3 linked regions of the Stegostoma tigrinum genome follow. The main gene of each other region encodes a partner of the protein of the gene in region 2 in a complex. Links are inferred from orthologs where the notes say so. Each region holds a gene or a part of one and is shown on either strand. Other genes may lie near its edges.

What was found.
Region 1: gemin4 (region 2) and strap share a complex: the UniProt entries of both Homo sapiens proteins name them as parts of the SMN-Sm complex. The link is inferred for Stegostoma tigrinum from reciprocal best matches to the Homo sapiens genes GEMIN4 and STRAP.
Region 3: gemin4 (region 2) and gemin2 share a complex: the UniProt entries of both Homo sapiens proteins name them as parts of the SMN-Sm complex. The link is inferred for Stegostoma tigrinum from reciprocal best matches to the Homo sapiens genes GEMIN4 and GEMIN2.

The regions. Positions count from the first base shown.
Region 1 is NC_081378.1:42,720,686-42,728,621, reverse strand, and holds the start of strap (serine-threonine kinase receptor-associated protein), read right to left. Parts: upstream 3,051-7,936; 5' UTR 2,936-3,050; intron 2,837-2,935; exon of another isoform or gene 2,707-2,836; intron 1-2,706. UniProt on the Homo sapiens protein: The SMN complex catalyzes the assembly of small nuclear ribonucleoproteins (snRNPs), the building blocks of the spliceosome, and thereby plays an important role in the splicing of cellular pre-mRNAs.
Region 2 is NC_081380.1:34,515,326-34,523,418, reverse strand, and holds the start of gemin4 (gem-associated protein 4), read right to left. Parts: upstream 3,065-8,093; 5' UTR 2,974-3,064; intron 534-2,973; 5' UTR 447-533; coding exon 437-446; intron 1-436. UniProt on the Homo sapiens protein: The SMN complex catalyzes the assembly of small nuclear ribonucleoproteins (snRNPs), the building blocks of the spliceosome, and thereby plays an important role in the splicing of cellular pre-mRNAs.
Region 3 is NC_081363.1:55,507,781-55,515,441, reverse strand, and holds the start of gemin2 (gem-associated protein 2), read right to left. Parts: upstream 3,037-7,661; 5' UTR 2,993-3,036; coding exon 2,898-2,992; intron 2,892-2,897; exon of another isoform or gene 2,778-2,891; intron 2,772-2,777; exon of another isoform or gene 2,539-2,771; intron 91-2,538; coding exon 1-90. UniProt on the Homo sapiens protein: The SMN complex catalyzes the assembly of small nuclear ribonucleoproteins (snRNPs), the building blocks of the spliceosome, and thereby plays an important role in the splicing of cellular pre-mRNAs.

The sequences.
Region 1 (7,936 bases), on a different chromosome or scaffold from region 2:
CTGGAATAAATAGGGAGAGAGGGGGAGGTGGACCAAAGATGGACAGAAAAGAAGATAGGTGGAGAGGAGAGTATAGGTGGGGAGGTAGGGAGGGGATAGGTCAGTCCAGGGAAGACGGACAGGTCAAAGAGGTGGGATGAGGGTAGTAGGTAGGAGATGGAGGTGCGGCTTGGGGTGGGAGGAAGGGATGGGTGAGAGGAAGAACAGGTTAGGGAAGCAGAGACAGGTTGGACTGGTTTTGGGATGCAGTGGGTGGAGGGGAAGAGCTGGGCTGGTTGTGTGGTGCAGGGGGCGAGGGGGCGAGGGGGCAAACTGGGCTGGTTTTGGGATGCAGTGGGGGAGGGGAGATTTTGAAGCTGGTGAAGTCCACATTGATACCATTGGGCTGCAGGGTTCCCAAGCGGAATATGAGTTGCTGTTCCTGCAACCTTCGGGTGGCATCATTGTGGCACTGCAGGAGGACCATGATGGACATATCATCTAAAGAATGGGAGGGGGAGTGGAAATCGTTTGCGACTGGGAGGTGCAGTTGTTTATTGCGAACCGAGCGGAGGTGTTTTGCAAAGCGGTCCCCAAGCCTCCGCTTGGTTTCCCCAATGTAGAGGATGCCAAACCAGGTACAATGAATGCAGTATACCACATTGGCAGATGTGCAGGTGAACCTCTGCTTAATATGGAAAGTCATCTTGGGGCGTGGGGGTGGGGGAGCAAGTGTAGCACTTCCTGCATTGCAGGGGAAGGAGCCAGGTGTGGTGGGGTTGGAGGGCAGTGTGGAGCGAACAAGGGAGTCACGGAGACAGTGGTCTCTCTGGAAAGCAGACAAGGGTGGGGATGGAAAAATGTCTTGGGTGGTGGGGTCGGATTGTAGATGGCAGAAGTGTCGGAGGATGATGCGTTGTATCCAGAGGTTGGGGGGGTGGTATGTGAGAACGAGGGGGATCCTTTTTGGGCGGTTGTGGCGTGGGCGGGGTGTGAGGGATGTGTTGCGGGAAATGTGGGAGATGCAGTCAAGGGTGTTGTAGACCACTGTGGGGGGGAAAGTTGCGGTCCTTGAAGAACTTGGACATCTGGGATGTGCGCGAGTGGAATGCCTCATCAGGGGAGCAGATGCGGCGGAGACGGAGGAATTGGGAATAGGGGATGGAACTTTTGCAGGAGGGTGGGTAGGAGGAGGTGTATTCTAAGTAGCTGTGGGATTCGGTGGGCTTGAAATGGACATCAGTTTCAAGCTGGTTGCCTGAGATAGAGACAGAGGTTCAACTCTGCTTACTGCTGTTAACCAATCCTCTATACAAACAAATAAATTACCCTTAACCCATGTGAACTCAGCTTGCATATTATTATGCTTTTACGCAACACCTTATCAAATGTCTTCTGGAAGTCTAGACATAGTACTACGAGAACAAGGAGTAGAGCTGGATGAACACAGCAGGCCAAGCAGCATCATAGGAGCAGGAAAGCTGATGTTTCAGGCCTAGACCCGCATCCAGCTCCACACCTTGTATTTCTCAGATTCTCCAGCATCTGCAGTTCCTACTATCTCAAACAATTTTAATCGCACTGCGAAGCCTCTTCTTAGGATGCCTACTCCGAAGAAGTTACCTTTCTCCCTCCGGAAAAACCTCAGTGGGGGTCTCTCCCAAAGCAAATCCTCTCCACCATCCATCTTCTAACCACCTCCCTTTCTCTCCCTACTTATTTCAGAACCCCCTTCCCCCTCCCCTTATCCACACTACTTGTTACATCTTCAAATAATTCTAGCAATTAGTCAAACATGATTTATTTTGACTTAAAATTCCTCTCATTACTTTCTTAACAACAGATTCTAAAATAAGGAGTAATTTCTCCAGCTAGACAGTGGCAAACCTGTAGAATTTTTTTGCCACAAAGTGGTTGAGGCCAAAACATTGAACATTTTAAGGACTTAGATAGTTCTTAGGCCTAAAGTGATCAAAGGACATAGGAAGAAAGCAAATAGAGTACTTTCACCTGGAAATTCTCACCATCCCCTGATGGTTTTTACATTTTTACCTGGTGTTTATTACCCAATACTTTTATTTGATCGTTTTTAACCCAGTCCTCAAATGTTATAAACCAGTTGTTTCATATCCAGTCCCTGACGTTTCATCATTTTAAGTTGGTTTTCTCCCCTCTGGAATTTTAAACCATTTACTCAGTGTTTTCAACCTGTGTTTCTTACTTGGTATTTTCACACTTTTACCAGGTCCCCTTTTAATTGGTGCTTCTTTCTTATTCCCCTGGTATTTTTACTCCTTTATTGTGGTTCTTACTTATCTCCCAGAATTTACCTGGCGTGCCTTACCCTTCCATATCTTACCAGTATTTTCCTGGTGCACGTGCCTGGTATACATCCAGTCTCCCTCCTAGAGTGGCTCACCAATTTTTTTTCTCCAGTGCATCTCAGTAATGTGCATTCCTGCTGTCTCACTTGTAAGTCTTACTGATGTGTTTTCACAATGGTGTGCCTTACCAGTATTTTCCTAGGGTGCGTTTCTAGTTCCCCTGGTGTACCTTACTGTCACAATTAACAACGGTGAGTGTTGGCAGTGTGTTATTCCAAGTAGTGTTCCCGGTCCTCTTCCCCAACCAACCCTGCCCCAAGTTATTTCTGGCGCCATATTTTACTGGTATGGTTTCCTAGTACCCCCTGGTGTGTCTTATCAGTGTCTTCCTGGTATATCTTACTGGTATATTCTCGGTATTGTTCCAGGTCCCACCAATGGAGCGTCTCAGCGTGTGTTCCTGGTCCCCTGTGTATCTTACTGTATTCCCAGGTGTTGATCACACTTTTCCCGGTGCGTCACTCCAGGTGGGCCATTCCCAGTGGTGCTTCCACCTCACCCCAAACTGTGTTTTACTACTGGGTGTCCGCCGTGCTGCTGTCGGTCTGCTATCCCCTTCCCGGCCCCCTTACCGGTCCGTTAATCCCGGTGTCGCGTGTTCCCAGTCCGGTCTGGGCTGGTTCCCTCTCCCGAACCTCCAGACTCCCCGTTAGCTGTAGCGGAAGTGACGCCAAACGCCACGCGTGGCGGCTCGTGGGAAACGCAGCGGTCGCACATGCGCAGTTTCATTGACTGGGCTCCATTCATAAATTTCGTCCAATTCCCAATGTGCAAACTATCATTCGCCTTTCGAGTAAAGGATCAGGCCATTCAGCCCATCCATATCTGTACCAACCAAGTAGAACTCCGTACAATATTCTACTAAATACCCTCAAACATTATCTTGTTTACGTTTGCCAGGCAAAAAAGAAACTTTTTTTTGATAGAATTATCATTTTTCGCTGTCTTTAAGATGACTGGCCAAACCATTTTGGGGTCTTAAGTGCCTATAAAAAAATTCTATGCCATTGTTCAAAAGTGAGAAAAGGTGTTCTCTTTATGTCAATATACTCCTGCACTCCCACCTGTGACTGTAATTACAGTCATTGAGCTGCACATCACGGAAACAGACCCGTCAGTCCAACTTGTCCATGCCAACCACATATCCGAAATAAATCTAGTTTCGTTTGCTAATATTTGCCCCATATCCCTCTAATCCCACCCTATTTTATAGCCAACCATCCAGATGCCTTTCTAATATTGTAATTGTACCAGCCTCCATCACTTTCTCTGACAGCTCATTCCATACACACACCGCCCTCTGTGTGAAAAGGTTGCCCTGTAGGTCCCTTTTGAATCTTCCCCTGCTCACCTCAAATCTATGCCCTCTAGTTTTGGACTCCTCCAATCCCTTGCCCTTCCCCTCAGGGGTCAAGGCCTTGTCTATCCACCCTGTACATGCCCCTCATGACTTTATAAACCTCTATAAGTTCGCCCCTCAGCCTCTGATGCTCCAGGGAAAATAGCCTCAGTCTATTCAGCCTCTCCCTATAGCTCAAACCCTCCAACCCTGGTAACATCCTTGTAAATCTTTTCTGAACCCTTTCAAGTTTCACAAAATCCTTCCTACAGCAGGGAGACCAGAATTGTACACAGCATTCCAGAAGTGTTCTAACCAATGTCCTGTGCAGCCGCAACATGACCTCCCAACTCCTATACTCAATGCACGAACCAATAAAGGCAAGTATACCAAACGCCTTCTTCACTATCCTGTCTACCTGTGACTCCACTTTCAAGAAACTATGAACCTGCATTCCAAGGTCTCTATTCAGCAACACTCCCCAGGACATTACTCTCAAGTGTGTAAGTCCTGCCCTGATTGCCTTTCCAAAATGCAGCACCTCACATTTATCTAAATTAAACTTCATCTGCAATTCCTCACCCATTGGACCATCTGATCAAGATCCCATTGTACTCTGAGGTAACCTTCTTTGCTGTTTACTTCACCTCCAATTTTGGTGTCATCTGAAAACTTACTAACCATACCTATGTTTTGAAAGGTGCTTCATTAACTGTGGAACACTGTCACATATATGAGGACATGCTGCAACTGGGTGTCAACCATTTACAGTCTAGGTCAAAATATACTGAGTTCAAGCTCCACTCCAAAGACTTGAGCACAGATTCTACTCTTTTAAATTAAAAGTAAAACTCACTCAACATTGTTCCCACCAAGCACCCGCAGGACATGGGGTTTGCTACTGAATAAGCCTACCTCTACTTTTCTAGACTAGAAGTAAGCAAAAATAAAGTTCACTGGACTTTTTTAAACTGACAGCAATGCCCCCATCAAACACTCCCAGGACAGGGATAGCACTGAGCAAAGCTCTCTCCACACTTTTCAAAACAGGACATCAAAATTAAAAATGAAACATTGTTGAAATAAAACACAAATTTAACAGTTGAACAGAATCTTATATAACAGATTAATATATAATATAGAATCTTACCAAACTAAATTAACGTTGTCCAGTCTGATGACGCACCCTAGCCTATGTGTTGCCCATAGGTCTCCAAAGGACTCAAATGTTCCTGTGAGCACTGCAGGCTCCATCCCCAGGGACAGCCGAGCACAGATGTAAGTGTGAAAGAGGGGCCAACAGTTGGGAACACTGCCTGAACCTGCTGATGGCCACTTTGGCCAGGCCCAGAATCAGACCCTCCAGAAGGACCTCTGACATGTCCACCCCTCCCTGCACTGGGTGGATTCCACGCTGATACTCCGGTATAATGCTTAAGGAGACGCTGTCTTTCAGATCAGAGGTGAAGTCTGCCCACTCTTATGGTTGTAATGTAACTATGGGCAATTAAATCAAGCTATAACATTCTCCCTGAACTTCTGGCCCAATTTTTCAAACATCATTACAAAAACATCATGATGTCATTGTGACAATGCTGATTCTGGAACCTCGATTGGAGCAAATTGACTGCTATAATTCCCACAAAGGAACAATGATCAATCTTTAAAAATAAATATTTGGTGATGAAATGTTTTCACATATCCTAAAGTCATTAATGCATTCCAGATAAAAAGACGTGGACATGGAAAAAGAGCTGCTTTAAAAACTATTGTTTGGAACAGTTCTGAAAAGCATGTAACCTGATGCTCACATTTGGCATCATTCACACATCTGTCTAAACAAGCAATAATTGCAAACCTGTCGTCATGGAGCCATACAGCATGGAAACAGACCATTCAGTCCAACAAGTACATGCTGACTGTAAACCCAAACTATCCTAGTCCCATCTGCCTGTGTTTGGCCCATATCTCTCCAAACATTTCTTATTCATGAACTTATCTAAAGTCTTTTAAACATTGTAACTGCACCTGCATCCATCACTTCCTTTGGAAGCTCGCTGTACACACAAACCACTCTGCTCCTCAAGTCTGTTTTAAACCATTCTCCTCTCACTTTAAAAACATGCTCGCTAATATTGAAGCCCCCACCCTAGGGAAAAGACACCTGCCTTTCACGTTATCTATACCCGTCACGATTTTATAAGCCTCTAAATGAGATCACCCCTGAATCTCTCAAGTTCCAATGAAAAAATCTCAGCCTGTCCAGGTTCCCCATATAATTCAAACCCTCCATTCCTGGCGACATCCTGGTAAATCTTTTCTGAGACCTGTCCAGTTTAATAACACATCCTTCCTATAACAGGGGGACCAGAACTGCACACAGTACTCCTAAAGAGGTCTCACCAATGTCCTGAACAACCTCCACATGACCTCCAAACTCCGATGCTTAAAGGTACAGAGGGAATGTAATAATGCAGCTCTTGCTGGCAACAAGAAGTTAATTGGTCTATGGACCAGTTGTCAATGACAGAGACATTTTTGCCTGCCAACAGCATTATGATTGCTTTACAGATAACTGAACTGCTTGGAGCTAGGACTAAGTTACAGATGGAGAGAAGTTTTCCGTTCTTCCACAGCCCAGGAGCAGTGTTCTTGTTCTCTGAAGTCAAAACTCCATATAAACCTGAAGTAAACCAGAACTGATAGCAGCCAGGTATCAGGTAAAATCAGGTAAAAGTGGTATTTACACTGAAGACAACAGAGTAGATGAGGAGGTATTGTTGGGAGGTGGTGGGGGAGAGGCGAGTGGATAGCTGAAGATGGAATCCAAAGAGAGAGAGATTTGAAAGGGCTAGGTAGGAGAGGGGGTTATTGATAATAGGCCAGGACACCAGGGAAGATGATTAAGTGGTAATGAGAGCAGAGAGTAGGTAATAATGGGTAGGCTGTGCTGAAAGCAAATCATTTCATGTGATAATAGGACTAAGAGTGGGTGAGAATGTGTTGGCTGCGCATGTCATGACAGAACCAGGATGTGGAGGTGGGTGTAAAAAATGTGGAAAGATGGAGTCAGGCTCCAAAGTTATTGAACTCCCTTGACTGCCTTGTCCACTCCACACTCCCCACTAGCTACACCACATCTGGCACTTTTCCCTGCAACCGCCGGAATTGCTACATCTCCCCCTACACCTCCCTCCTCACCCCCATCCCAGGCCCCAAGAAGACCTTCCACATCAAACAGATGTTCACCTGCACATCTGCTAACAAGGTATATTGTATCCACTGTTCCTGATGAGGTCTCCTCTACATCGGGGAAACTAAATGGAGGCTTGGAGATTGCTTTGCAGAACACCTACTCTTGGTTCGTGACAAATGATTGCACCTCCCAGTTGTGAAGCATTTCAACTCCCCCTCCCATTCCTTGGACAACATGTCCATCCTGGCCCTCCTGCAGTGCCACAACATTCCCAACCGAAGGTTGCACGAACAGCACCCCAAACTCCGCTTGGGAACCCTGTAGCCCAATGGCATTGTGGACTTCACAAGTTTCAAAATCACCCCTCCCCCTACTGCATCCCAAATCTAGCCAAACCTGTCCCCACCTCCCTAACCTGCCTGTCCTTTCTCCTACCTATCCGCTCCTCCCACCTCAATCCCTACCCTCACCTCCTAATTACCAGCGTCATCCCTGCCTCCTTGACCTGTCCAACTTCCCTGGACTGACCAAATCCAACCCTAATTCCCCACCTACACTCACCTTTACTGGCTCCTTCCTCACTTCTTTGATCGATACATTTCCTCTCCACCTATCTTTTCCTTTATACATCTTCCATCCACCTCCCCCCCGCTCCCTGTTTATTTCAGAATCCCCTACCCTTTCCACATTTCTGAAGAAGGTCCAGACCCGAAACATCAGCTTTCTTGGTCCTCTGATGCTGCTTGGCCTGCTGTATTCACCCAGCTCTACACATTATTATCTCTATTGAACACAATGTTGAGTCTCAAGAGTCTGCAAGGTATTTGGAGACAACTACATTTTCAGTCTTAGATAACAAAGTGTGAAGCTGGATGAACACAGCAGACCTCTGATGAAGGGTCTAGGCCCGAAACGTCAGCTTTTGCGCTCCTGAGATGCTGCTTGGCCTGCTGTATTCATCCAGCTCCACACTTTGTTATCTTGGATTCTCCAGCATCTGCAGTTCCCATTATCACTGATACATTTTCAGTCTTGCTG
Region 2 (8,093 bases):
GAACCTGTAGCAATAACACAAACACACAGCCTTAGTCTCAGTCAAGTCAGTTGACCTCCTGATATGGTGAGGTTAGTGTGGCTACAAGTTTCTGTTCACCCTCTCTCTCTCACAATACCTTCAGGCACCATACAAAAATTAATTAACCAATGTATTTTAAAGTCAACTTGCTTTTGTAAACTAAAAGGATCCACATTCAGCAAGCTTCCTGCAGTAATCAGCCAAGGGAAGCATTTAAACTGCAAGTTTACAAACATTTGTTTCATGGGTTTACTCGAGAGTGGTGTTGCTTTCTGCACAAGAACATAATTTCACGCAAACTTTTTTCTGCAGTTTAGCAAATCTGGCACCGAAGAAGCTGCAACTCGTGCTCAAGTTATGCTGTACAGGAGCCATGACACAAATTATGGTCTTTAAAAAATGGAAAGAAACTTACCCTGCTCCATATTTACAGGTTATTTCCCCATACACTGTGCAATCTTTGATGGCTTGATCGTACAATTTAATTGGAAACTCCTCCAAACCTGTGAACTCTTAGAAAAAAATTGAACTTTTTAAACAAAGTTTTAACATCTCAATATGTAAAGAGTATCACCCCCACAAAAAATGACAGTTTTCTTGCTTATAAAACTCAGCGGCAATTGAAAGATGTAGTTGTCCTGCCTTCTAAATCATGATTGGAATGCAAAAATGGCAGCATGACTGAAATGTCAGTTCCTGAGAGTACCAAACCTATAGCGTTCCGTGACAGATCATTGTTAAACGAAGCAAATCATTTTGGTTTCACACTAACTGCAACTAGTAAAAGGTGCAATTCAAAAATGCAGATACCTGGACATAACGAAGTTGCTTTTGTCCTCACCTTCCATAGATCAGTCTCCATATTCAATTTATCATTGTACGCTATCCCAAATGTGATTCCACCACCAAAGCACCTTGCTGTACTTTCACATTCAGTATTCCAAAAGGATTGTCTTGCCTGCAACCCCAGATTCACTCTTCAAATTATCCCCAACACCTTCAGTCCTTCCACAGGCATTCTCCCAGGTAAGTGAAAGACTGTATCTGCCTTAAATAAATATAGAGAACACTGGAGAAACTCAGCAAGTCTGGCTGCATCAATGGTGAAAGACAAATACCATTTCGAGTCCAGTATGACTCTCCTTAAGAACTGCCTTTGTGCATTCCCACTCACCAAGATCCCAAACCCATTTTCCAGCTGAAAGACTGATTTGTACTTCTTTCAATTTAGTCTACAGGATTCACTGCACTTAGTGTAGTCTCTTCTTCACCAGTAAGAGCAAAAGCAGATTGGGTGACTGTCTTTCCAAATACCACGTTGTCCACACAACCCCAAAATTCTGGCTACCTGCCATTTTAATTCACCAACATAGTTTCAATTGTCTGCGGTTTTCTGCAGTTGTCCAGAGAAGCTGAAGGCCAGTATCTTTTCTTCCAAGTGCTTTACAGTCTTCCATACTCAACATCGAGTTTAACCACTTCAGATCATATATGTTTTCCCACTATTAGGGAGGTGGTGGCCTAGTAGTATGGTCGCTTGATTGTTAATCCAGAGACTCAGACAACATTCTGGGATTGAAGATCCACCACAACAGATATTGGAAATTAGTTCAATAAAAATATCTGGAATTAAGAATCTAATGATGACCATGAATCCATTGTCAATTGTCAGGAAAAGCCCATCTGGTTCACTAATGCCCTTTAGGAAAGGAAACTGCCATCCTTACCTGATCTGGCCTACATGTGACTCCGGACCCACAGAAATGTGGCTGACTCTGAGCAATTAAGGATGGGCAACAAATGCTCATAGCCAGCGGTGCCCTCATCCCGTTAATGAATACAAAATAACTGTTTCAGACTGCAGTTATGGACAATAATCCTGCTATTCCCATTTATACTTCCTCTAGACAAGCTTTTCATTTCTTCACTCTTATCCCTGTCTCTGTACTCAAATGAAAACCCATTACGTCTCTGGTTGTTTTTGTTTTTGGCAAAATGTCATCAACCTGAAACATTACATCTGTTCCTCTGTCCGCAGGTGCTGGAGTACCCGCTGAGAATCCCCGACACTTTCCCATTATTTTATCCCAAATATGGAGAGCTTGGTAATAATTGCACCTTGAAGTGAGACTCTAATTAAATAAAAACAGTGTATGCTGGAGTGGGTTTGTCAACATCTGTGGCGATAGAAATAGAGTTAACACATTTGAATCCAATGACTTTGAGATAACAAGGGGTAGAGCTGGATGAAGACAGCAGGCCAGGCAGCATCAGAGGAGCAGGAAAGCTGACATTTTGGGCCTGGACCCTTCTTCAGATGCTGCCTGGCTTGTTGTGTTCATCCAGTTCTATACCTTGTTACCTCAGATTCTCCAGCATCGGCAGCTCCCACTATCTCTGAATCCAATGACTCCTCTTCTTTCAGATCTCTAACAGCCACCGTATTTTGTTTGAGACTATAACTAGTGGACAAATCAAACGTCAGACACCACAACCAACAGATAACAATATTATTGCAGCAAATTTGGCCTTTTGAACGTTTAAGTACAGCAACTGCTCCAAAAGATTTCGAAAACACACACATTTCCTATTATATTGAAGTCACTGTGTGGCTGTTTCGTGCTTTCTTCACACCATGCTAATGCAACTTAAGTAAAATCATACATTTTAATTGCATCAAAACCACAAGCAAGCAAATTTAACGTTTTGATGAGATCAAATTTCCTCCTGAAGGCTATTTAACCAAGATAAAAAGAACAGGGGCGGTGTACGTTTGTGATTAAGTTGCAGGAAGGCCTGAGGCCCTTAATGAGATGTACAGCTTCCAGGAGTATCTTCGGTTTCCCCGCCGCCGCCGCCACCACCATCATCATCATCATCATCATCATCATCCCTATCCTCTACCCTCCAAACCCATACAGCAAGAAGACCTCCTCCCTTCTTCCAACTCACTCATTCATTCAGTGCCTCCATCACTCAGTCGCTCTCCATCATACAACAGGCAACCTCGCCAAAGCAGACGCGTTCCCAGGGACACGAAAAGAAAGCCAGGCGCCGCCGCTGCCGCCCCCTAGGCAGGATGAGTAACTGCGCCGCATTGCATATGGCCTCTGCTGAGAAGCATGCACATTGCTGAGCGACAGAGTATGTTTCTAAGGGTGTGGAACAGCACCTCTGAGCGGGTTGGTATAGAATCTTTTTGATGATGGAAGTTGCTAACATTTTTTTGAAACAGTTCTTTGTGTCGCTGAGCTGGCAGGTGCAAGTTCACGTCCCAGCTCCAGAGGTGTGTAATAACAGGAACAAAAGCAAAGTTGCTGGAAAAGCTCAGCTGGTCTGGCAGCATCTGTGGAGGAGAAAACAGAGTTAATGTTTCGGATGACAAAGTGTGAAGCTGGATGAACACAGCAGGCCAAGCAGCATCTCAGGAGCACAAAAGCTGACGTTTCCAGCCTAGACCCTTCATCAGAGGGGGATGGGGAGAGGGTTCTGGAATAAATAGGGAGAGAGGGGGAGGCAGACCGAAGATGGAGAGAAAAGAAGATAGGTGGGGAGGGGATAGGTCAGTCCAGGGAAGACGGACAGGTCAAGGAGGTGGAATGAGGTGGTAGGTAGGAAATGGAGGTGTGGCTCGAGGTGGGAGGAAGGGATGGGGTGAGAGGAAGAACAGATTAGGGAAGCAGAGACAGGCTGGGCTGGTTTTGGGATGCAGTGGGTGGAGGGGACGAGCTGGGCTGGTTTTGTGATGCAGTGGGGGAAGGGGAGATTTTGAAGCTTGTGAAGTCCACATTGATACCATTGGGCTGCAGGGTTCCCAAGCGGAATATGAGTTGCTGTTCCTGCAACCTTCGGGTGGCATCATTGTGGCACTGCAGGAGGCCCATGATGGACATGTCGTCTGAGGAATGGGAGGGGGAGTTGAAATGGTTTGCAACTGGGAGGTGCAGTTGTTTGTTGCGAACCGAGTGGAGGTGTTCTGCAAAGTGGTCCCCAAGCCTCCGCTTGGTTTCCCCAATGTAGAGGAAGCCACACCGGGTGCAATGGATACAATATACCACATTGGCAGATGTGCAGGTGAACATCTGCTTGATGTGGAAGGTCATCTTGGGGCCTGGGATGGGGGTGAGGGAGGAGGTGTGGGAGCAAGTGTGCACTTCCTGTGGTTGCAGGGGAAGGTGCCGGGTGTGGTGGGGTTGGAGGGGAGTGTGGAGCGGACAAGGGAGTCGCGGAGAGAGTGGTCTCTCCGGAAGGCAGACAAGGGTGGGGATGGAAAAATAGCTTGTGTGGTGGGGTCGGATTGTAGATGGCAGAAGTGTCGGAGGATGATATGTTGTATCCGGAGGTTGGTGGGGGGTCCGGTGACCCTTCCTCAGAACTAATAACAATTAATATCAGTGTAATAACATCTCTGAACAGATTGATTAGAAAATATCAACATTATTCTCTTGGTAATGCAAGTTGCAAACAATTTGTATTTTAAGGGTTATGTGGCACAGTGGTAGTACCCCTGCCTCTGAGCCAGGAGTCCGAGGTTCAAGTCCTGTCTGTTCCAGAGGTGTTTGAACAGGTTGTTTGAAAAGATCTGTCCTCACAACAGAAGAGATATGCCTGGAGAAATTCAGCAGGTACGGCACTCCTGTGGAGAGAGAAATAGAGTTAACATTTTATGTGCTGTCTTCAGAACTGTATTCATTTCAGATTTTCAACATCTGCAGTGTTTTGCTTTTATTACATGAAATGTGCAGCAAGATTCTAACAACATCTGACTGAAAATAACCATGTATAGGATTTGGGTGTGGATGACTGTACCAGCACTTAATGCCCATCCCTAATTGCCCTGAAAACAAGTGGCTTGCTAAACCATTTCAGCGGGCAGTTAGGAATGAAACCTTTGCTCTGGATCTGAAATCACACCTCGGCCAAACCAGGTAAAGTAGTGGATTTCCTTCCATAAAGGGCATTAGTAAGATGTATCCTGTGGATAACCCTGAGGTGTTTTTATTGTACTTTAAAGGTGCTGTGTAGATGTAAGTTTTTTGTGTCAAAATTGACTTTTTCATTATTAAATATATACTTATTATTATACAGGTTTTCTTACGTCAAGTTCAAGATGGCTGATAAAATAAAACAGAGAGGAAAAGAGATTCTGACCTCGAGCCACTCCCCTGTCTCCAGGTGGCCCCTCCCACTAAGGGGCCTACTAAGTGAGCCAGTCTTAACAACACCCACCTTTCTCGCAGCATCACTCCTTGAAGCTGGGACTCAGGTGTGCCAGCAGTAGGCACAAACTTCTGTGGTGCGACTGAATGTTGGAACTGCCGGCTAGATGACTACAGGCAGGATGCCATGTTCCAGGGTTCTCAGTCAGGAGGAACACCTGCTCATGTCCTCTTATGTGCCGAATGGCTTGAAGTTCCTTCTAAGAGTAACTGCCTCTCCCCCAAAGTGAGAGAATGAGAATGTGAGCTAAGAGAGGGAGACAAAAGCGAAACTTAAAATTTATGACAAAAAAAATAAGCTTTAGGAACAATTTACAACCAACTGGACTGAGAGTCCACAGCTTAAATTCTTTCTATTTCCAGACTGGAGAGGTTAGGTTTCATGTCAGACCTATAATCTCAGCACTAACAGTATCCTTATGTCATTAATTACAAGACCTCAGTGAGATTTATTCTTACTCACAGTACAAGTCCAGCAGTTTCTTGATTCTCACAGAGGGACTGATCTCAAGCTTTGTTTTATGAGAATAAATAGCTGAATTGTGCAAAGCATCCAGCAATTTATGACAATTCACATCTTGTGGCATAGCCCTTCTGACATCATGAATTGTCAGCTTATAGCAACATAGAAGATAGGAGCAGAGCGAGGCCATTCGGCCCTTCGAGCCTGCTCCGCCATTCTGCACAATCATGGATGATGGCCCAACTCAGTAGCCTAATCCTGCTTTCTCCCCATAACCTTTAATCCCATTTGCCCCAAGTGCTAAATCTAGCCACCTCTTGAAAACTTCCAATGTTTTGGCATCAACTACTTCCTGTGGTAATGAATTCCACAGGCTCACCATACTTTGGGTGAAGAAATATCTTCTCAATTCCATCCTGAATTGTCTACCCCAAATCCTCATATTGTGAGCCCTGGTTCTGGATATACCCACCACTGAGAGCATCCTCCCTGCATCTCCCTATCTAGCCATGTTAGAATTTTATAAGTCTCTGTGAAATTTCCCCCTCATTTGTCTGAACTCCAACAAAAACAGTCCCAATCTAGTCCATCTCTCCTCTTATGTCAGATCTGTCAGCCCTGGAATCAGCCTGGTAAACATTCGCTGCACTCCCTGAAGAGTGAGAGCATCCTTCCTTAGAAAAGGAGACCAAAACTGCACACAATATTCTAGGTGTGGCCTCACCAAGGCTTTGTATAACTGCAACTCCTGGACTTGAAACCTCTCACAATGAAGGCCAACATCCCATTTGCCTTCTTTACCACCTGCATGCTTACCTTCAGCGATTGGTGCACAAGGACACCCAGGTCCCACTGCACACTTCCCTCCCAATTTATAGTCATTCTGGTAATAATCTGCCTTCTTGTTTTTGCTTCTGAAATGAATAACCTCACATTTATCCAAATTATACTGCATCTGCCATTGATTTGCACACTCACCCAACCTGTCGAGATCATGTTGAAGGATCTCTGCATCCTTGTCACAGTTCACCCTCCCACCCCACTTGGAATCATTTGCAAACTTGCAGATGTTACATTTTGTTCCCTCATCCAAATCATTAATATACATTGTGAATAGCTGGGGTCCCAGCACCAATCCTTGAGGCACCCCACTGGTTACTGTTTGCCAATTTCAAAAGGACCCATTAAACCCTAGTAGAGATAATAGGAACTGCAGATGCTGGAGAATCCGAGATAACAAGGTGTAGGGTCTAGGCCCGAAATGTCAGCTTTCCTGCTCCTAAGATGTTGCTTGGCCTTCTGTGTTCATCCAGCTCTACACCTTGTTATCATTAATTCCTATTGTTTGTTTCCTCTTTGCCACTCAGTTTTCAATCCATCTGAATACACTTCCCCCAATCCTATGTACTTTAATCTTGCACATTAATTTTTTTATGTGGGACTTTGACAAATGCTTTCTGAAAGTCCAAAAATAGTACAAGGACTGGCTTCCCCCTTGACAACTCTACTAGTTGCATCTTCATAGAATTCCAACAGATTTGTCAAGCATGATTTCCTCTTTATAAATGCATGCTGACTCTGTCTGATCCTGCCACTGCTTTCTAAATGCTTTACTATGAAGTCCTTGATAATGGATTTGAGAATTTTACCCCCCTACCATATACATTAATATTATGTATACATTAATATTGGCAACCGCGGTAAGGTCGTAATTAATAATAAAGACACCATAAACTCTTAGTTGGTTTGGTTAGACTACAATTAGAGCAGTGTATACAGTTATGGTCACCAAACTCTAGGAAGGATGAGGGTCCAAGTTTCGCTGCTGGTGCAGTGAAAATTTGCCAGGATGGTTCCCAGGATGATGAATTTTGGTTGTAGGGTTGGTTCAGGGCAGTGGAGTTGTTTCCTTGGTGCAGGAGAGGTTAGATACATATGCACAAGTTTGTGACAGTTGTATTAGAGAGGGCAAATAAATACAAACTATTCCCATTTGCTGATGGCCCAAGTGTTAGAGTCATAGATAAAGTCATAAAGATGTACAGCATAGAAACAAATCTTGCAGCCCATCTCATTCACACCAACCCAGATATCCTAATTTAAATATAGTCCAATTTTCAAGCATTTGGCCCATATCCCTCTAAACTCTTCTTATTCATATGCCCATCCAGATGACTTTTAAATGTTATACCTGACTCCACTACTTCCTCTAGCAACTCATTCCATACACACACCACCTTCTGCGTGAAAACATTGCCCCATAGGTCCCTTTTAATTCTTTCCCCTCTCAGCTTAAACCTATGCCCTCTAGTTTTGGACTCCCTCACCCCAGGGAAAAAAGACATTATTCTATTTACCTTATCCATGCCCTTTATGATTTTATAAACTTC
Region 3 (7,661 bases), on a different chromosome or scaffold from region 2:
AAGTCTTCAATGGTATCCCAGTCATCCACAGGCAATTGCCTGGGCATCAAATCTTCCTCAAAATTCATTCCTGTCACGCTTTTCTCCACACTATTTTAAAAAAGTTAGACTTATATCTAATTTGCCAGGGACAAAATTCACTATCTATGAAAATGAAACAGCAAGAGTTCAGAACTGAAAGACAATGATGCATCATCACTCCCTGCAGATATATTTTAAGAAAACAGTTGTTTCTGACCATCTTAAATTTTTAGATCAGTTTGCATTTGAAAAGTGTACTGTTGTAAAATACACATTACAGTCAGTGATTATGATATCTGAATAATCAGGTACTTAACTCTCTTTATTTCATTATTAGAGACTTTGCACATGTTTGGATGAGTATCCATTTAAAGCATTATTCTGGTTTGGTGCCTGATTTATGGCCAAACCTACTGAAGGTACCTCTACTATTTCGCAGGCAGAAATGGATCCAAAATGTCAAACAAAAACTGATTTAAAAGCAATTAGTAGTATTTTGATTTGAGAATGAAATTCTTAAAGTGTTGTTTGTATCAGTGATTCAAACAGAAATTAACACACCAAAACAATAATTGTAAGTCACACTGGATGCTGTCCTTCCTCTAGAAGAAAGATGAAGGTAGGCCTGTTGTGTGTTGGATGGAGTTAAACTCCAAGTTTTGGATATTCCCCTCATTTTCCTTGTCAGTCCTCTAAAAGGACTATTTTCTCCAGGATACCTTGGTCCACTCCTCCTCCAGTCCCAAAACCTCCCACAGCATCTTGCCCTGCGACTACAGAAGGTGGAATACCTGCCTGTTTAGTTCCTTCCTCCTCACTATCCAAGGACCCAAATGCCTTCCAGGTGAAGCAGCATTTACCTGCACTTCACACAATCCAGTCTACTGTAGTCACTGCTCACAATCTCCTCTACATTGGAGAAATGAAGTAGACTGCAATGCAGAATTCCCACGTTTTGTCTGCAAGACAAAGACCCTTAGGTTCCAGTTGCCTGCCATTTCAATATACAGCCTTGTTCCCTGGCCAACATCTGTCTAAGGCTTGTTGATCTCAGCGCAAGCTAGAAGAACAGCACCTCACTTTCTGCTTAGGAACTCTACAGCCTTCTTGACTCAATATCGAGTTCAACAATTTTAGGGCTTCATGCACCTTCTCCCATGACCTTACCCTAATCCACACACACCAGGCCTTATTATCACATGCTCTGCTATTACACACAACCCATTGTTACCCACTACTAGACCCCATTAGCAGCTATTCATTCTCCTAGGCTGACCAGCATCCACTCCTTTGTCAGTCCAACTCTTCTTCTCTCCCTCTATGGGCTGTATCTCTACATGTTGTAGAATTGCTAGAGTGCGGATGAGGGCCATTTCACACATCAGGTCCATCTGACCTTCTGAAGAGACCCTACCCAGACCCATCCCTTTACCCTATCCTTGTAACCCTGCATTTCCCATGTCTAAGATAATAAAATGTGAGGCTGGATGAACACAGCAGGCCAAGCAGCATCTCAGGAGCACAAAAGCTGACGTTTCGGGCCTGGACCCTTCATCAGAGCTGAAGGGTCCAGGCCCGAAACGTCAGCTTTTGTGCTCCTGAGATGCTGCTTGGCCTGCTGTGTTCATCCAGCCTCACATTTTATTATCTTGGAATCTCCAGCATCTGCAGTTCCCATTATCTCTGATACCATTTCCCATGTCTAATTCACCTAACCTGCACATCCCTGGACACTATGGACAATTTGGCAAGGTCAATCCACCTAACCGGCATACCTTTAGCCTGTGGCAGGAAACCAGAACACCCAGAGGAAACTCACACAGACACAAGGAGAATGTGCAAACTCCAAACAGTCACCCACGGCTGGAATTGAAACCGGGTTCCTGGCGCTGTGAGGCACCAGTGTTCACTACTGAGCCACTGTACTGCCTACTGTTTATTCCTTATCCTCTCTCCCACCACATTTTCTGCATAAAAACAAACATTTTCCTAGCTATTATCAGTTCTGAAGAAGGGTCACTGGATCCAAAACATTAACTCTGATTTCTCTCCACAGGTGCTGCCAGACATGCTGAAATTTTCCAACAATTTGTTTTTGTTTCAAAATTTTGGATGCTATGTTCCAATTTGTTGCTGCAGTGGCCTAACTAAATCAATTCAATAAGAAAACAAGAAAATGCTGGAGATACTCAAGAGGTCTGGTAGCATCTGTGCAGAGAGAAAAAGTTAATGTTCCAAGAATTTTTTCATAACTGGTTTTATTTCAGATTTCCATCATCTGCACTATTTTGCTTTAATTTTCAGTTGAAATTATTTTTAAAAGGTGCATCAAGACAAGCTGTGATAAGTTACTTTGCAAACACAAAGGTGACAGCCTAGACATCAGTGAAACTGAAAAGCAAACTTAAAGCAGTTCATCAGATCTCAAAATGGAAAAACTAAATGACAGACAATCGTAAAGGCTATTTTCAGCAAAGAACATGGAACATAATATTTGCAAAAATATTTATAACTCACTGCAGTTAAATAATTAAGGCTCATTTCCAGAACTGGCATATTTTATGTCATACTACTGATGCAGCCGGATTTCAGATATATTTCCCATTGCAGGGAATGGAAATACAGGCTTAGGGCAAGGCACGGCTAAACCACATATGAAGAATAATATGTACTTTCTGCTAGTCACAGTGATCGTGTTGGAAGGTCAGCATTAGGCCAGAACCCTCTCTCCCCTCCCTCAAACTGCCCATACTCACCAACCTCAGGGTCATGACCTCCTAATATCACATGGCCACTGGTAGCCAATCACCACCTTCCCCTTGCCCTGTGCCGCCCTGTCCAGATTTTTAACAGCTCCCCTCCATCAAATACTCCACCTAGAGGTAGAAGCGTCAATCCACTTCATGTTAAACCGTCGCTGTACCAGTTTTGTGTAACCGGTGTGTACGATATTAACCAGAACGTACAGCATTGCATGCTGTCCCCTGCGCAATGACGGAGGACGGTAAAGGGACAGTAATGCGACTGCGCAATGATGGAAGGCGGTAAAGGGACGGTTATGCGCCTGCGCTTAAACGGCGGACGGTAAAGTGACGGTAAAGCGACTGCGCGGTGACGGTATGCTGAAGTGGAATTTCGATGGGCAACGTTGGAAATGTTGACTACTCCTTTCTTTCAGATACTGCCTGACTTGGCGTGTTCTTCCAGCTTCCTGTTTGTCTACCTTAGGATTCCAACATCTGCAGTTTTTTTTTGTTTCTACGTAAAGTGATGTTACTGAGGGTTTTTGTTCTGTAGAAATGATGATACAGAAACGTTCGTATTGTGAAAGTAGGAGATTATACTCTTGTTAATGATGGGCTATAATTTTATCCACATGCACTGTATTATGTAGCTATCGTCGATGCACTGCGTTTTGGTGGAGAAATAACTTTTTTTGTAATTTCGTTATTGAGTTCAGCTTACTCCAGTTCATTGAGACTGCCTACGGGTAGTCTATGCTATTGTTCCTGTTTTGACTCTCCTGGTGCTGGAAGTAAAACATAATATGTCCTCGCTCAAAGTTGTGTTTCTTTAAAAAAATCATAAATTAAATTTGTGAAGTGAATTATAGAGTCCCATTGGAATCAATGCTGATTTTATTATATTATTGACACATGTACCAAGATGCAGTGAAAAGTATTGTTTTGCATGCTAACCAGACAAATCACACCTCACAGAAATATGTCAGAGTAATAGCAGAATGCGGAATATAATGTTACAGCTACAGAGAAGCTCAGAGAAAGATCATCTCTAATATATGAGAAATCCATTCATAAGTCTGACTACTGCAGAGAAGAAGCTGTCTTAAGTTTGTGTCTTCAACTCTTGTGTCTTCTACCTGATGGAAGAGGTAGAAGATAGAATAAATGATTTTTATGGCTGCTTTCCAGAGGGAGTGAGAAGTCTAGACGGTGTCAGTGGAAGGAAGGCTGGCTTTCATGATGGACTAAGCTGCATTCATGACTCTGTAATCTCTTGCAGTCTTGGGTAGAGCAGTTGCCATACCAAGCTGTGATGCATCTGGATAGGATGCTTTCTATGGCCCACCTATAAAAATTGGTAAGAAGCATTGTGGACGCTGAATTTCCTTAACCTTCTGAGGAAGTACAGGCATTAGTGTGCTTTGTTGACTGTAGCATCAACATGGATGGACCAGGATTGATCATTGGTGACATTTACTCCTTGGAACTTGAAACTCTCCACCACCTCCACCTCAGCACCATTGATACAGACAGGGGTGTGTCCTCCACTCTGCTTCCTGAAGTCAATGATCAGCTCCTTCTTTTGCAGACATTGAGGGAAAGACTTTTGTTTTCACATCATGCCACTAAGCTGTCTATTTTTCTACTTTACTCTGTCTCATCATTGTTACATCTAAAGTTATTTTCCTTAAAGCATTCTTGTCTTGGGAAAAATAATGCACAAGGTGAAACATTGTTCCCAGCTGAAATAATGTGCAAACTAAAATATATCAATCAATATACAAAATAAGTACAATGCCCAATAACCTCTGGACAAATTAAAACAAAAAATCAGTATCTCCTTCCACTGCTGTGAACAGGAAGTCAATACCTCACACGTCATTGGTAAGTGCTTAGAATTAGAAGTAGAATCCCATGTAAATGAATAGTGCTGCCTGAGGAACCCCTGCCACTCATTCCATTTGGTGCTGTGCTTGGCACCTTGCTCTCTACTACATCACTTGCTCCCACACTAGTTGCCCTACTGTTGACTCTGCTGCCTCCCTTCTGCTTGCTGCACTGCTCCCTCCATTCATAGGAAGGTGGCATTGAGCAAAACATGATCCTAGGATTTTAATTGATTTAGGACATTTGAAAATCACTCATTTTCTCAGTCCTATTATTAGAGACAGAAAATTGTTTGTGGTGTCTCTGGCAGAGACTGTGTGGGCTGTGTCTGCCGTTTGTGGTTCCAGTGGCAGTATAGGCATCTTTATAAAAAACTCGCATAGTTTTAGATTGACCAGCTGCTGCTTCAGAGCTTGAGACCGCATAATATCGGCTTGCTTGTTTCGAATTTTAATTTGGGAAGCTTTGCCATAGGTGAACAATCTGTAAGGAGTAAGAACTGCAAATAAAAACGTTAATCGAAATAGCTTCATTTCTATCAACTCTCTAAATCACTTGGTGGTGATTCTACTAGGGCAATCTCATTTGTTTCTTTATAATCTAGAGGTATATGTTGAAACTAAAATACATTAATTTCACTTTAGCATTGAACAATCAATCAGAATTGTCAAAAAGCATTCTTTGGAATTATATTCTTGCTTGTTGTCACATTTCTGATTCACATGTAGTGTTACTGTCTTAATTCCCTTTCCTATTATGAAAAATCTCATTCCCAGATGATTAGTCACCCTATTTCCAGCGATATATTTCCCTGTACACTACTTATTTCAGAAGGATGTAACTGACCCAAGCAATTGAGCAATAATGTTCTTAGTCTTTTTACAAAATTCAAGAGATCTTAAATATTTTACTGCATTTTTGTCAAAGGCTGACAAATTATTATGCATACCATACACCAACCCATGTCCTTGTATGATTAAAAGTCATTATTATAGTGAAGAAAGATCTTTGCAAACATTTAAGCATGTGAAAATGCTAGTATTAAAATAACATTGGGTAGGTTAAGCCTGCCCCTGGGACTGTGAGAGCAACCTACTTCAACTCCTGGGAGTGGCAAAAAAATAATTCAAGACCATTGGAATGGAAAGATCTGGAAGTTATTCTTATTATTGTATACAATAAAACTAGTCCAGAACGCTAGATTGATCATGTGTTTTTACTTAACAATTCACCTAGCTCTCTAAAACATGATTTGGGCCTTGCTGCAATATCACAGGACAGGGAGACTCTCAGAAGACTTGGGCTGTCAAGTCAGGTGACACTTGTGATTTCATACAAGAAGACATCCAGGGCATTTATTGCCTGTGGTCAATAAGGCAATTATTACTCAAGGCCATCCAAGTACATCCACACACCCACCAACAACACTACCTCATCGATCCCCTCCTCGGTCTCTGTCTTCTGCCACATTGTGTGCTCTCTTACAATGTGAGAAGGCAGAGAGGTATAACTGTTTGAGTAGTAAGGGTGGAAGGAGAGTAAGAATAATTGTGAGACACTGGTGTGAAAAGACAATTGGTCGTGGAGAATTTGAGGTGTGGGCTGCTCAGATGTAGTATGCCTTTGGAGAGAGGAATGTATGGCTCTGTGTTGTGTGTTTTCCTGAAGAGTATTGAGCAGAAGAAATCTAGGCAAGTCAGAGCACAGGTGTTATCTGAAAATGTTTGTACCATTTACCTGCCATGCCTTCCTGTGGACCTGAATTCCCTTAATACATTTTGTCCAAGGTAGAGAAACTACATCTGCCACGGACTACCTCAATCATTTCCAGGTGGAGAGATTTAGCACTTCCTCCAGTTCTTGGAAGAGATTTTCTCAGTGCAGCCCCTCATCTCAATCAGTAGACGTTCAAGTTTAGAGTCAGAGACTCATGGAGCAACCTTCCCATGTCCCTTGTTCATTTCTGTGTTTCTGAAGACTCAAAAATGCAAATCTTAGTGAGATTTTCTCACTCGTACTGTGGTCCCTTTAATTAGAAAACCTTTAACAAAATGGATATGCAAACATTCCACTCTCCCCAATGGGTGGGGAACCCAGAAGTAGATATTAATACTGCAGGTCTGGATAAAGTCCAGCAATTAATGAATTACATTGTCAACCTACAAATAGTGTCACTTTCTATCAGGGACTAAATGTAGAAAATTCTTAATAAAAAATTGAAAGAACTGTGGATACTGTAGATCAGGAACAAAAACAAAGTTTCTGGAAAAACTCAGCAGGTCTGGCAGCATCTGTGAAGGAAGATACAGAGTTAACGTTTTGGGTCTGGTGACCCTTCCTCGGAACTGGTTTTGTTGTTGTTGTTTCTGGTGTTGAAAATTCTTCCCTATATAATTTCTTACTTTTCAACTGGTTTGTATGCATTCAAATTAAATGAGCAAAAAGAGTAAAGAGGCTAAATTGGATAGCCCCTGAAGTGCACAGGAATTATTATGTGTGATTGAGCACAAGTTAATCAACATAATGCAGACAAGTTGCCAAGTTTCTGCTGCCAAGTCTTTGAATGGTTGCTGCTTGTAATCAATGTATCACTAGGGGCCCCAGATTCATAATTTGCCAGCACCAAATAAAGCTAGTCTGTACCTCTTAAAGGGAAAATGCATTGTGATTGGAGTAGATATTAGCCATCATGCCGGAAATAGGTCTGACTGGGCACCTAAAAGTGAAGGCACTATGTGGAAGAAAGTGGCTCCACGGTTTTTGGAATCTGAACTGGACTCATTGCTGAGGTGATTTTTCTTTATAAAATTTGTTCAGAATTTTTCTTTTGTGGTCAGTTTTCTCTTTGTACTTTTGCAAGCAGAGAATGAAATGGTCAGTGACAGAGTCAGTAAGATGTGGACCTGTTGATGATTGGGGAATTGGGTAGTAATTATTAGTGTCGCACTTGGGCAGCAGGTTTTCTCTAGCTTTTCTCTTCCTCACTCTTCTCAGTTCAGCTTCTCAGAT